Linked DNA regions of Lytechinus pictus. The protein of the gene in region 2 interacts with the protein of the main gene of each other region in a pairwise test. Links are inferred from orthologs where the notes say so. Each region holds a gene or a part of one and is shown on either strand. Other genes may lie near its edges.

What was found.
Region 1: the proteins of transducin-like enhancer protein 4 (region 2) and homeobox even-skipped homolog protein 2-like interact in a two-hybrid assay, tested with the Drosophila melanogaster proteins (2 studies listed by BioGRID). The link is inferred for Lytechinus pictus from reciprocal best matches to the Drosophila melanogaster genes gro and eve.

The regions. Positions count from the first base shown.
Region 1 is NC_087247.1:44,796,580-44,804,262, reverse strand, and holds the start of homeobox even-skipped homolog protein 2-like, read right to left. Parts: upstream 3,092-7,683; 5' UTR 2,490-3,091; coding exon 1,943-2,489; intron 1,036-1,942; coding exon 875-1,035; intron 1-874. UniProt on the Drosophila melanogaster protein: May play a role in determining neuronal identity. May be directly involved in specifying identity of individual neurons.
Region 2 is NC_087249.1:5,395,155-5,402,757, forward strand, and holds the start of transducin-like enhancer protein 4, read right to left. Parts: upstream 3,133-7,603; 5' UTR 2,507-3,132; coding exon 2,483-2,506; intron 1-2,482. UniProt on the Drosophila melanogaster protein: Transcriptional corepressor that regulates transcription when recruited to specific target DNA by hairy-related bHLH proteins. Maternally required for neurogenesis; in the segregation of the neuroectoderm. Directly or indirectly interacts with Notch and Delta.

The DNA.
Region 1 (7,683 bases), on a different chromosome or scaffold from region 2:
TTGACAATTCTTTTTTTTTTATTTAAATGTATTTAAAAAAGCATATTTATGTATTCTTGAACAAAATATAGATTCGCACTGACGATTGCGTTGCTACTTGAATCAAGTCATGCATATCAAATAAAAAGTCATTACGTTATACAGGTGCCTATATACTTCTCAAATAGTGAATAACCCTTTTACAACTATGTATTAATGATGCATAACAGATCAACATCTTAAGGAAATATATTTGCTTTGCGGTGATCATTGGTGATGATGGGATTAAAAATAGATAACTAAGCCGGAAGGAACTTTACAGCAAAATACGAAACCTCTTAAGAAGCGAACCGAAACGTTAAAAATAAGTTGTACTGTAATGCTAATCTAAACTTCTATGTTTTCCGAATCAAGAGGAACGGTTTGGGATACGATCAGGCGACGCCAAAAAAACTTCGACTTTCAGAAGTTGTAAATGATCAAAAACGGAGAGTAAATGATGTGTGAAACTTGAGTTAAGTCACTTGATCACTTTGTACTTTCAGGCTACATGTATGAGCTTTAACAAGCAACTCCTAAAATATATGACAAAGCCATAAACAACATATTCACGTTAACGAATATTCAATTTGATCAAAATTTTATTTCTTGTTACAATTTTTCAATATTTTTTTTTCTTTGACGGGTCAAAACAATCAGCAGTATATAGTAAAGGATGCTAAACAATAATCAACTCTGTGCTTTTCTCGGGTTCCATTGAAAATATCTAAGGTCAAAACACATGTCTGCATGATTATTAACAAAGCTCGCCCCTTCTTTGAAACATTCAAATCGAATTTATGTGCATTATACCAAATGAAATATCTTTGACTTAGAAACTAAAAATAATACATACCTTGATAGTTGTTTCTGGTAGATTGAGAGCGGTGGCCAACTCGCATCGTTTGGGTCGGGATACGTAGTTCTCACGGGCAAACTCCTTTTCAAGTCGGCCGATCTGTTCCCGGGTGAATGCGGTGCGGTATCGGCGAACCTGTGATGGGTCCAGCGGGTCAGCTGTAAACAGGAAAAGTGAAACACGTTTTATCATTAAAACTTGATCGCATAATATAATATAGATCAAATATTTATGTACAATTACCAACATATTTGATTTTTGTTTTAAATATTAAGAATATTTAAATTTCAAAACTTATGCAAAACTTAAGCTTTAATTTTGCAATTTGTTTACAGAAGAAAAAAAAAATCACACAATTTCGTAAGCAATTTGTTGTAAGTATATTCTCAATAATCGCATCCACATTATGATAGCAAGAGCATATTCAACGCGTAACATCAACTATTGAATATCATATATCAACTACAATTATATACATGACTGCATAATCTTGAAATCAACTGAAGCAAACGCTTGATCTGACAAACAAGTCACATCTACCCCAACCCTAATCAAAAGCATATTAAAGTTAATGACCACCTTGATACTTTGGCTCTTGGTGGCAATGATGGCACCCTGACTTCCCCTTGTCATTATCGCTAATGATGGGAAATCATAAAATGGAAAATTATAAGTGCATGGTCAACATGATTTCACCAGTAACCAGTAGGTTGATAATATTCTACATGATTAGAGCAGTATACAGGTCTCGGGCCCCATGCCAACGTGGCGTGACGCTCGGCAAGTGTCGGGGGCAATCAGCTGAAAAACTCTTTCAATCTTCAAACCCATACGTTTTCCTACCCTCCTTCCTTCTAAAATACACATATAACTGGAAAATATCTCTTATCCAAACGAATCGTTAAATTGAAAAGTAATAAAAGACATCAGAAAAATCATCTTGATACAGACATTTTTGGTGTAACGACTATAATAATTATTTTTGGTCTCACAGGTGTGTTAAAAATGCAATAAGTCTGAAAAGAACATTTAAGTAAAATTGGCGAAATCAAATCTATAACTTACCACGAAGTGCAGAATTTGGTGGAGAAGAATCCGTCTTGTGTAGGCCAAACTCTAGGTTGTCAGGACAGCTGTCTGGTGAGAGGCGATCACCCCACTTTCCCAATGGGCTAGAGTCCCGAGAGTAGTGACCATTCAGTAGAGTGTCCTGGTGTTCATCGCCGCTGAGATGTTCACCCTTGACAGGAGGACTAGGTGATCGTGATAGGGGATGATGATGGGTCGAGTGACGAAAGTCCAACGTCTGTGCCGATGGGATGGTGTGAGCCGTGGGGTACGGCAGCAAGGTTGGGTGGTGGCCGATCGTAGAAGGGACAGCGACATCACCTCCCGTGACGGCCCGGCTCATGATGACGGCAGCAGCTGATGAAGTCTTTGATGAACTGCTGGACGAAACATCGGCATAGGGCATGAAGAGGGTATGATGACGAGCCTCTGACGGGGCTGCTACAGCACTGTGAGATGCTCCTGGTGTAGTGGTGACGTTGTTGTTGGAGTCTTGATGTTGGTTGTCAGTCGTAGGAAGCATGTTGGTAAAACCTTTGTCCATGTTAAACAGAAAACACTCGATCAATGTACGTTTGCTGTCCACCAATCCTTGACTTTAAATCAACTCCAAATCAAATCTAGACGACAAGCCCGATACCCGAAACTTTCTCTTTCTTGATTGGATGAAATATCACAACATCAATTTATGATCGGTGCTCTTTGACTTTTTCGGAAAATTGAAGTGGAACGGTCAGGAAAGTGCTTCCTCGGTCAGGCTTGCTGACGAAGTGGTTGTCGAGTCCAAGGGTTACAAAGTGTCCATGTAATATATTCGACGAAGGTATTTAAAGGATATCAACACAACTTGTGTGTCAACTTTCAGCTGATATCAGTAGTACATTAACAATGCAGACGAGTTCACTTTCTCATCAGGTAAGTTTAAAGACTCGAAGACATGATAACTTCTCTCTTGGGTGACGAAAGTGAAATATGACGATGTTCCAGCTTTCTTCGGATATAAATACGGTGAGTTAAATTCAATCATGACCATACCAGATTAGGTAACACCCAATAAGGGACAGTGCTTTTGAACTTTAGCGCACCAATAAGGGGGCGTACCCCTTTTGTTATGTTAATCGCGGCTTCCAAGCCGAAGACACTAAACGATCTGGTAATCAAAGCTCCATTACACGGAGTCATCAATAGCGAACGCGCACAATGGCGTGCGGACACGGAGGGCTAACAAAAACAACAAAAGCGCGTTCTCCCGACCAGTCAAGTTGAAAAGGATCGCTCATTTACACGTCAATGGCACACAGCGACACCGCCTCTACCCCTATCAGTAACATAAAAGATAGTTGAAATAGATGCATGGGATGAGACACTGATATCTATTCATGGCACAAATTGGGTCGTCTTCGTCCTTTCTTACAGCTTTCGCTTTCTGATCGCCGCCGTGATAAAGGGCAAAGATTTGAGAAGAAAGCAAGTCGTCATTGAAACTCTTCTCACTTTTGTCTCCCCTCCCAAGATCTTGTTAATACCATACTTTATTTTCTTTACAGCTTTCTGGCTATCTATGCATTCACTGAAATCTGTGTATAAAGTTTACGAGCCCTTGGCGTTGTATCATCCTAAATCTTCCTTTCAAACGAAAAATGGGAAAGCTTAGCTCTTACACCGTCTACCCCGTCACAATACTTCAAACTCCATGACACAAAGCTGTCGGAATGGCAAACCCAGACTCAAAGTAAATAAAAATAGAGTTTCGATTTTTAGTTTAATTCGGTGATCAACTTAAATTGTTTTCTTGTAAGATATTCAAGGTACTTTATAGGTAGCGATGCAAGTTAGATGATACGTCTTTGGATAAATCTTGATTAGCTGCTGATCATATTAAGTCTAATTGGATTATTTTAGAAAAGAATGTGAAAACTAGCTACTAGTAATTTTGGGGTCATTGCCCTCGGCTCCTAAATTGCAATGTACATAAAAGGGCTTTGGTGTTGAACACAACACCAGTCAGTATTGTGAGAGACCCATACCAGCCAGGTGTAAAAAAAGTCATAGTGTTTCAATATAACACCAGACCATGCATAATAAACAGAATATGTTATAATTACACCAATGAGTTTTGAACTAACACTATGAAATCATCACCAGTGTAAAATTGTGTTGTGCTTTCATAACAACGACGGGTGTAATTTTAACGCCCTCTGGTTTTGCCAGTGAAGACATTGACTATACCATGGCTGTACTCTACCCAGAGCAGGGGTGTGGATGGGGCATAAATTCCCAAACTGTTTACATCAAGAGTGCACCTCCTCTTTCAATCTCAATTCAAACTACCCCCCCCCCCCCAAAAAAAAAAAAAAAAAAATCGGAATTAACTCGACAGCGTCATTCACTCGCTTATATGTATTCTTGAACATTCACTTACCCCTATAGAAAAAAGCTTTGCGTACTACCATGTTGACAAAGAATTTTTTTTTACAAAAATCAACCCTGCATGCCAATGTCGAGTAATCCTCAATCATGTCAAGTATGAATTGGATTTTAATAAATCGAAAGAGTATATTCACCACAATAACTAATGTTAGTAATATGAAATAAAATAAATATTTTCACCTTTATTTTTTTTAAACAAGCTCCGACTTCATGTGTATCCTGATCATGTTTACTATTGTTTTGAACCTGGCATTGGTCAAATGAATGAACTGAAATGAAATTTGTAAAATCAATGTGTATCGTAATTTTAAGATTATGTATTTCTATATTTTATTTTAAGATTATGTATTTCTATATTTTATTACAACATGGTAAGAGATGAGAACCGGAGAAATAAACAAAACATCGTGACTACACAGGGTTTGTATATAGGCCCATGCAGTAGTTTGACATTATGATGATAATTCTTGTTCTGTAAAGTAAACATAAATATAGTGAGTAAAAACAAATATTTACGTATTTAGAGTTAACATGAGTGTAAATGTCATTATTATGATGTACATTCAATGGAACCAAAGATACAAAAGCGTACTTTTACTGTAATATTGGAGATAATAATGCGCCGAATATAGTCTCGTATAATTATATGGGTATTTGGCATGTATATATTAAAAATTATATATTTTATTTTATTCTGATTTTCTTAATCATTCTGGCCGATCTAACTAATTTACATTTCAGAGGCTATGACAGTTTATATAGCATGGATCTTCGCCCCCAATTGTGTATGATTGAGATTTCTGTGCGCTGCAAATACTCCCGTGTTGATTTACCACCAGCCCGGAATCTATATATGTCCACACCAGGCAAGTATCGAAAACAACACCAGTTTAGAATCAAACCAATGCTGTTTTAGTTATAATTGGTGCTGTCTAAACACCTATCTGGTGTTAGATCAAAACCAAACTGGTGTTGTTTAACACTTAACACTTCTGGTTTGGACATACATAGATTCCGGACTGGTGGTAAATCAACAGCGGAGTTGGTGCAGTGTGACATATTGCATCGCATCCCAAACTCATCATAATGGTTTACTAAATTAAGATGAAAAGAGAAGATATTCCCCATCTATTGACTACTCAATCCTGTAATTCAGGTTTGCATATGGACTATTTTTTTTCCATGAAGTCAATTCTCTGGTATTGAAATTGTAATCAAGTTACAGAGATGGAACCCGTAACCCGTTTTTTTTTATGAGTTATAAATTCATTGGACTACTAGTGCAAATTCTACCCGAGTCGGAACATAATAATCATGATGAAATATTAAGGAATCTTTATTATGAATAGTCTTCTGATCTATTGAAAATAACAATTATATATAAACAAAAAAAAATGCATTTATTTATATAAAGAAATGATATGGGTGATTCACACTTAGCAAATGCCTCAACTAATTTGTAGGCAAGTTAAGAAATCAATTAAAAATTCGACCAGGTGATGATGCCCATTGGCTTCTAACAATAAAAGAGTTCTTATAGATGCTTTTCTGTATGCCGCAGAACAAGGAGATCTTAGCGGCTCGTCGCACTCACCGCCTGGTCATCTCCCCTATTGTGACGGCCAGGTTCCGCTGTGTTTCGCGGGGTGTTAAGGAGGTTGTTGATCAACTGTTTTGTTCCTCGGGTCTAGCCCGGGCATTCGAATCCGGCTTTCAATTTCAAAAGAATCCTGCTCTCTTTTCTTCCATTCTGTGACTTATTTGGATGATCAAGAAACTCTTGACTAAAAGCACATCGCCGTCAAGTGACAGGTTAATGTACATTGATCATTGGCTATACTATTAAAATAAAATGTTATTGTTAGACATTTCATTGCATTCCCGCTCCCCTAACTTTCTTATGCAGTTATGTAGTTCGAGTTTGATCAAAATGTAATCGCAGAGGCATGAAGATTAAATAACTATGGATTTTACCCACATTGCTAATTTGCACTAGGTGTGACACTTATTATCACATACAACTGTCAATATGGCAGGGGTCGCGGAAACGGAGGGGGGGGGGGCTGGGTGAGCCCCCACTCTTTTTTCTCTAAAAACGCCATTTGACTGTGTTTTGCATGGTCAGCACCCACTTTCGGCTCAGCCCCCCACTTTCAAAATCGTTCCGCGGCCCCTGAGATTATGTTCGATGATTTTGAATTTATTTTCCTTGGTTGAGTTGGGAACATTAATATCAATGCATGGTCTAGTGCCAATATTCCTTGAAAGGATTTGAATCCTGGACCTGAGGAGTTACGGTTTGTTGTTTGGATCTGGAAAACACGATTATTAATACATTCTAAAATATCCCATCGGTTATTTAATGATAATAATAATTGGCATTTTTATAGCGCTTTATCAATCTACGATTGTTCAAAGCGCTTAACAATTAATATTACCCGGTCACTGGATTCATAGCATTTCAAGCAGCCTGTTAGGCGCACACTTACTAAACCAACCACAATGACGGTTGTTTCCTACCGGTTATTATTTTATTTTATTATTGTGTTTTTTTTTTTTGGGGTGTTCACAATGTATAAGAGTGCCAAATTAGGAAAATACTATTGCTTGAGAGTATATTCGATGTTAGTATCTTGATTATTTACAAATTCATCTGCTAACACATTTCAATATTAATTTTGAAATAATATATAAGTAGGCCCACATCAAATATGATTGGTCTATTTCATCTTATGGAAATTCAATGCTATATCATCTTGACCAACTATATTTATTTATATATATATACTTTTTAATGTAATTTCAGTGAAAATAAAATAATATCAATTCTTCGTCAAAAAGCACGGAATAAACCTTTACCCAATATTTGGTTAACAATTTTGTAAAAGCAGGTATGTTGGGTATTATATTGGTTTAAAATACTGTTAAAAAGTGTGGGTACTTCACAGATCAATGCTAAGATTTACACAGCAAACATTGGCAAAAGTGACCGCCATTTAACCCAACAAACATGCATGATCTAAATGAGAGTGACCATGTCTCAGCTGTTTCATATAACGGCGATTCACATTGTTGCATGGGGAATTTTGAAATTAAAGAATAAAATTGTAAATGAAAGATTCAATTATTCCAATGTAACTATAATCACCAAGATATTTTTCCATGGTTTTACGTCTTCCTCGAAAATAAACCAACTTTTTGTTATATTATATATATTTATATATATTGTTATATTATTATATTTTCTTCATGTGTTGATTGACATCATACATGTAGATGTTCTCGTGTTAGCACAAATACTAGTAAAA
Region 2 (7,603 bases):
TCTAGAATGTATTTTTTCTTCCCCCTGTACGCATTAGCAGTGCTAGTGAAACCCAGCTCCACACTCTTATTTTATACTTCATTCGCAATCTTCACACAACGTGCCAAAATCTTTTCAGCAACTTGTCTAACTTTAGCAACCCATAAGAAGCGTCTTCAGTCATTTTTACTGATATCAGTGATCTCCGACCTTAATGGAGAAAGGAAACAAGAGAGAGGTTAAGATTTTGATATCCCCAACATCCATGGTTTAAGTTCATTGACCCTAAAGGCCTAAATAATCTTTGACCTTGGTCATGTGACCTGAAACTCGGGCAGGATGTTCAATGGTACTTAATCACCCTTATGTCCAAGTTTCATGAAATAGGTCATCATAACTTTCCAACTTATGCATGTTGGGGTAGCGAAATATAAGTTTGTCAAATGAGTTGTGAAGCGCAACAGGGGTACGTCTTCATCACTTCTGCATCACTGATTTTTTTTTTATTATAAAATATTAGCACATAAAAGGTGTTCATCCATTTGGAAAGGGGCAGCACATGATGAAAAATGTTGCACGTACAAATTTAAGGCCTGGTCCCACTAGCTGACGGACATAAAACGCATTCATAAGGGACACAAGCGTACAAGCAAAATTTCGGGGGTGGCTCCATCCGTTTTCATCTGCTCCAGAAATGGACAAATTAGCGAAAATTTTGCGAAAACATAATGGACACGAACGGACGTGGGTAGTATGTAGCGCGGACGTTAAAGGGATGTTCATCAGAAACCTTGCGCAAACAAGTGGAATGCCTCTGGCGGTCTCACCTGCATCACGTGATTCAATATAGCAGCAGTGCTGACTTTGAAAACTACTATAACTCGCACAAGATGTTCAGCGATACTTGGTTACTGTTATGTCCATGTTTTATGAACTAGACCAATACACTTACAGAGGTATGATGGTAATTCAACAAATACCCCCAACATGGCCAAAGTTTATTGACCTTACATGACCTTTGACCTTGAACATGTGACCTAAAACTCACACAGGATGTTCAGTGATACTTGATTACTCTTATGTCCAAGTTTCATGAGTCAGATCCATAAACTTTCAAAGTTATGATGGTAATTCAACAGATACCCCCATTATGGCCAAAGTTCATTGACCTTTGACCTTGGTCATGTGACCTGAAATGTGCACAGGATGTTTAGTGATACTTGATTACTCTTATGTCCAAGTTTCATGAATCAGATCCATAAACTTTCAAAGTTATGATGGCAATTCAAAAACTTAACCTTAGGTTAAGATTTTGATGTTGATTCCCCCAACATGGTCCAAGTCATTGACCCTAAATGACCTTCGACCTTGGTCATGTGACATGAAACTCAGGCAGGATGTTCAGTAATACTTGATTAACCTTATGACCAAGTTTCATGAACTAGGTCCATATACTTATGCTGTCATTTCAAAAACTTAACCTTCGGTTAAGATTTGGTGTTGACGCCGCCGCCGTCAGAAAAGCGGCGCCTATAGTCTCACTCTGCTATGCAGGTGAGACAAAAAACGGATGGAAGTGGATGACAGCTCCGAAGAGGTTACCAAGGATTTTGAATACTTTGTTTACGAGATGCATACACTTACATCCTTTCTTTTTCTGTACTTCTACTAACGATGTATATACGTTCCGTGTACCTTTATAACTTTCCTCCCTCTTTCCGATGGACGGATGCTCGATGGGCATGGATAGAGCTTATGAAGCATGTACGTAATGAGTACACAACAGATGCATAGCGTTTTCCAACAGATGGCAATCATTTTTTTTCCATTTTACATTCTTTTTGCATCTGTAAGTACAGGGGGACCGGCCCGGGTCTTTATGCATTGCAAGGCCTGGCGAATACTCCATGATCAGACACACAAGATTAACATCCGTCAACTTTTTTGCCCAGGTCAAGGCATAGTTGGCTGAATTCAAGGTAGAATACAAGCATGACAAGTAGAGGTTTAAAAGAATATTTTCTTAAATAAGAAAGAGATGCTTAGATCCTAGGTCATAAAAATACAACAATCAGGACCAGACATCATTCCAAAATTCCTAACAACAACATTTAAATTCACACAAAAAATAATAAGGCAACCAATAAATATTAAGCTAGTGCCTAGTCTACAATAAAAATAAGGAAGTGAATATCTATTAAAGCCAAGGAGCTACATCAAAACATCATGATCTAGTATAATCAATATAATCAATGGACAATGCACTAGCACATTCCATGTCTTAGACAAAGTACTACACGACTTACTGCAATATCAGTCAATGGGACCACAGTGAATTAGCTGAGCAATTCATGACTGATTGATAGTGTGTTTGCTATGGTCGGGTTTATGCGATATGCGTACCGCGTACACCACACCGCACACAGCACTCATAAACATTAACACTATTTCTAGCCGACTTTTATATCATTAGCACACAAAAACAACGAAATATTTTACTTACTGCATGCCTGGTCTGCGGATACATGACGGCAATAGGTAACTGACTCCTTTTAAGAATCCAGAATAAATGTAAAAATCGACGATGATATATTCCAATACTCTAAATCCTCAAGAAACGCCTTGGTGTCCGGGCCATGAATACTCGATTCATGTGTAAACTTAGCCGTTCCAAACAGCGAAGCATGCACGCAGTGTGTGTAAAACATATATATCCCGTGCATACACACAACGCGCTTACACACACTACGTGTATATCCAATGGGCGGGCATGACAGGCTTTAATACTCAATACACTGTTTGTGTGGTGGGAAGTAATTTGCCCGCGTATATAGTGTCTGCGTATATTCGTCCAAGTCAATTCAGCGCTGGTGTACACTTGTAGTTCAACGAGGATATATTCAGTTGTTGGGGGAAATAGATACCGCTGTTATACCTCAAAAGCCTCAAAAGTATACATGTTCCATGTTTTAGTTCGAAAATTAACCAAAAAATATAATTTGAAAAACTGCACGACCCGTAAACCACTTTAATTTTTTTTCCATATCCAAAACTATAAATCTGGCTTAGAATAAACTATATCATGTGCGGCATTTAGATACCACATAATAGGTCAGTTTCCACGCGGGACGCGACGACAAAGAAACAAGTGATATATTCCATAAAAGGAAAGTAATTGATTGGCTGTATCACCGACGGCGATTGAACGTGACCAGTAAGAACCGAGATATTCACGTGCCGCTAATTTATGTCAGCATAGTAGATTCAGCAACCAATCAGCGGCGCGTTCGTCCACAGGCCACGCCCTGCGAGTGACACCGTGATCACGCCTGACTAAAGTTCAGCTGACAAATTGGTGAAAGCCTCACCTACCACTTATCCGCGGAATGCGGGCACAGAAACCGATTGCATTTCACGCTGATATAAGCTGGCAATCCAGCCTCACACTATACACACTGCGGCAGACGAGGCTGCACAATATTCCATAGGGATTAGCTAGCCAACAACAAAGCAAGGAAAATTATCAAGTTACCCTGGGGGTAGCCGCAACGGGGGTTCGAACGATAAGATTGCACTTACGTGAGCGAAAAAAACTCGCCCTTATTTATTAAAAATAAACACAGGCGATACAGTGTACATGTATCCGGCCTAGATGGTGTGTGTACCCGGGAGGGTTTGCCGTGAAAACAAGTCAATCAAATATTGGCTGAGAGATCTTGCCTGAATTGAACACAGCTACGGCAAACAAAAACTCAACATTGCGTTTTAAAACGTAGGTTTTCTTTTTATTATGGTGGATTACTGAGTCTCACCTGTTTGGCTAAGAGTGGGGTATATTCTAAATCTTCAAAATTATTAAAACCCTTTCATTTTAACGGAGGTGTGAAAATCGATCTTCTCAACTTAAATTAGTATTAACAGGGGTATCGATTAATGATGTCAGCCTACTCGTTAAAAAAAACTTTGATTAGAAAAAAAAAACATTTTCAAAAATCACAAAGTCTCTCTTCACACTCATGGACCTATCACCATGTCACACTCAAGTCCAAATCAACGCCTGCAATATACATATGGAGGTCATATTGTGCCTCGTCAGGACATGATCAGGGATATTCGTGTGTCCGTTTGGTGTATTTGTCATGTCTTTTTTTTTTTTTTTTTTTTTTCTTTTTTTTCATTTCATTACATCGAGTCGGAATTTCTCTAGCCCTGACTGTTTGGAACAGCCTTAAGTCATGTTAAATGAAAATTCCACAGATATGGCATCATCGAGGAGTTAGATTCAACACACGGCCATCAGTCAACAGAAAACAAAGACTATCATAAAATGAAATCTTATAAAGACCTTTCTACGGCTGGGTGATAATAATTCCCACCGCCAAATATTATTCCCGACGATAGCAAGAACAGCCGCAATGCTACGCCTATACACATATGCATTATCACGCACGGAAGGACACGCCCACTATCCAGCGAAAAATCGGTGACTTTACAGCTACGCCGCTGATTGGCTAAAGCATATTCATCTAATTAACTTCACGTGCTCGCGCCGAGTAAATTGCATAGGCTCCAAATGCTTGTACACACTGTCAAAGGGTTTCGCTGTAAAAGATGTGGCTGATTGAACCAATGTTTATGCTACCGCAGTTAAGTCCACAAATGAGGGTATTGGTTTAGTAACCCAGCTTAGGAAATAGTGGAAATAATAAGTGAACATGGTAACCTGTATATCTAAACGACCATTCAAGCATGCATATTATTAATATTATTATAAGATACCTTATATAAAAAAAAAATATTCTAAACGGGTGATCAAATTTTGATTTGTCGAGTTTCCCCTTTTCACCCGACAGCTTTTAATTTTCTGCTCTCACGGTTTTCTTTTCCTTTCGGTTTTATTGATTGAATAACATAACATTCAATTCAAGATGGGACACGTTATAGAACAATACTTTAGGAAGGAGAAACAAAAATAAAGCTCAAAAACATGTGTTTAAAAAAATGTCTGAAGGCATGCAAAGAGTCAGGTCAGAATGCGGCTACAGACCAGTCCACGAGTGCTCATCAAATTCCCTCAGGTGATAACATGAACGGCTCCTGTTACTAGGGCAACAAGGTCGTTTTCCCGCCACCTTCTTGGTTTTGTTTTGTTTTCCCCCTCACAAAATAATCACGCCTACTTACAGGCTTTCCGTGGTGGGATCTGTAATTATCATTTCCATTTTTGTTTATAAGTCCATGTCCTGTTTTCCTTGGTGTTTCCTCCTTATCCCAATTCTTCTTAAAGGACAAGTCCACCCCAACAGAGAGTGGCTTTGCATAAAAAGATAAAGTTAAATCCAACAAGCACAACACTGAAAATTTCAAGTATCCCTTCACAAAAATTATATTCAAGATTATTACATATCAGGTTGGAAATGGAGGTGGCTGCTAATAACAACGTGAGCATAAACCAGTTATTAAATGAACAAAAAATAAGAAGAAATTAAAATAGAAAAGGAAATAAGAAAAGAGAAATAAAAGGTCTCCAGAATCCAGCCCCAGTATACGCACAAACGGACCTCGCTGATCAACATGAAAACGAAAGAGATTGAAAAGTGTACGTCACATCATGCACATGATTCATGTTTGATTTATTTTAAATACAAGAGTTTGAGTGATGAAGAGTTAATTCAATGGTTATCTTGGAGAAACTTTTTGAACTTATATGCGAAAGAATTTAGGCTTGGTGATTTTTTGATGTTATTATTAATAGTTCCCCAGAGTCTAGGGCCTTCAAAAGTAAAAATTGATTTTGCAAGGATGGTCCGGGGTAGTGGTAAACTGGTTAATGGAATTCATCTGATTGACGTGCATGTGGGATATTGTGAAGAGTTTTGTTTTTGTTAAATGAAGAATTAGATATGGGTGGTAACATATTATTGTTTAATTGATACATGAATTGACCTAAGTTATATTGGTACATTGTTTTTATTTTTAGAATGTTCTTGTTAAAAAACAAGTGATCTGTGTGGGATCTCCAGGACAAGTTGAAAATAACACGCAACGCCTTCATTTGTAAAAGCAATATTCTATCTATAGGTAGGTAATTGAGTGTGTATTTCCCCCAAACGATTGCTCCATAATTTAGATATGGTAAAATTAATGTTGAATAAAGCATTTCTAGGGAGGAAGTTGAAAGAAAAAAATTAACTTTGTTGAAAGCACCAATATTGCGTGAAATTGTACGACATATAAAGTCAATGTGTGTTTTCCAAGATAATTTGTCTATTATGAGACCTAAAAATGTTGTTGTAGTAATAACTTCATTGTCTTTATTGTCCAGTTTAATATTAAATGGCAATTGTTCTATAAAGAATTGCTAGAAAGCAAGCATTTCGTTTTTTTGTACATTAATTGACAATTTGTTAGCCCTAATCCATTGTACCAATTTATCCAGTTCAGTGTTCAGTACATTAATTGAAATATCGGGGTTAGGATGAGAGTAGAGTACATTTGAATCATCTGCAAAAAAAGACATTATTTCAGAGGAGTTCTGGATGTCATTTATATAGATTATAAATAAAAGTGGGCCCATGAGGCTGCCTTGGGGAACACCCCGGTTAACATTTTGTAGAGAAGAATTGCTTACGATTTGCGAGGTAGTTTCTGAACCACTCCAAGGCCTTCCCACGAATTCCGTAATTTTCAAGTTTGTAGAGAAGTATTTAATGATTTTTTTTATAGTGTCAAAGGCCTTGGAGAGGTCCAGAAAAAACATCTATTGTGTGTTCAAAGTTGTCAATAGCTTTTGTGATTTTGTCAATAAATGAGAGAGTGGCATGAGATATATTTTTGGCGAAATCCATATTGAAAAACAGAAATTATATCATCTTTAATAAAAAAAAATTAATAATCTTGTATAGATCACCCTTTCCATAACTTTAGACAAAGTAGGCAATAAAGCTATTGGTCTATAGTTACATACATTAATCTTTTCATATTCATTTTCTTTTTCATTGTTATACTTGTTTGATTTTTCTCTATTGATTCAAATTAACATTTTTCTGGAGTGAACTTGCCCTTTTAGATCCAAGTCCTCTTCAGAAAAAAAAAGTGGTTTAAAGGAAAACAGAAACAATTCAATTTGAATTAAAAAGGTATTAAACAAATACTTTTTGTAATCATGAACATGGTGTGTATCTCACTGTAACAAAATAATAATTAAAACTCGAATCATGAGAATAATTTCTGCATATTGACTTTAAAACGGAATATTTTAAGCCTAGGCCTATATGGTTTCCTCGTGAGCAGATTGTTATCCCAATCAAGGAAGCATAAATATATATGAGCGCTTTCTTAATTACCTGAAAGTTTTTATCCAATTATTCCCCTCCCCCCTATTTCCTTCACTTTCTTATTCTTGTTTTTTTTTCTTGTCTTTCCTCCATTCCTTTGTATTTTTCTTTCTCTTTTCTTCCCCCTTTTTTCTCTCTTGGCAAGTGCTGCATGGGTCCCGCGGAACCTCGAAACTCCCTTAGCTACTGGCCTGCCTTATTCCTTATAAATAGATTAATTTTATAAGTTGTTTTGTACCCTACCTATAGCTTGCTGTCACTTCCGGTTGTTTATGACACAGCTTGCT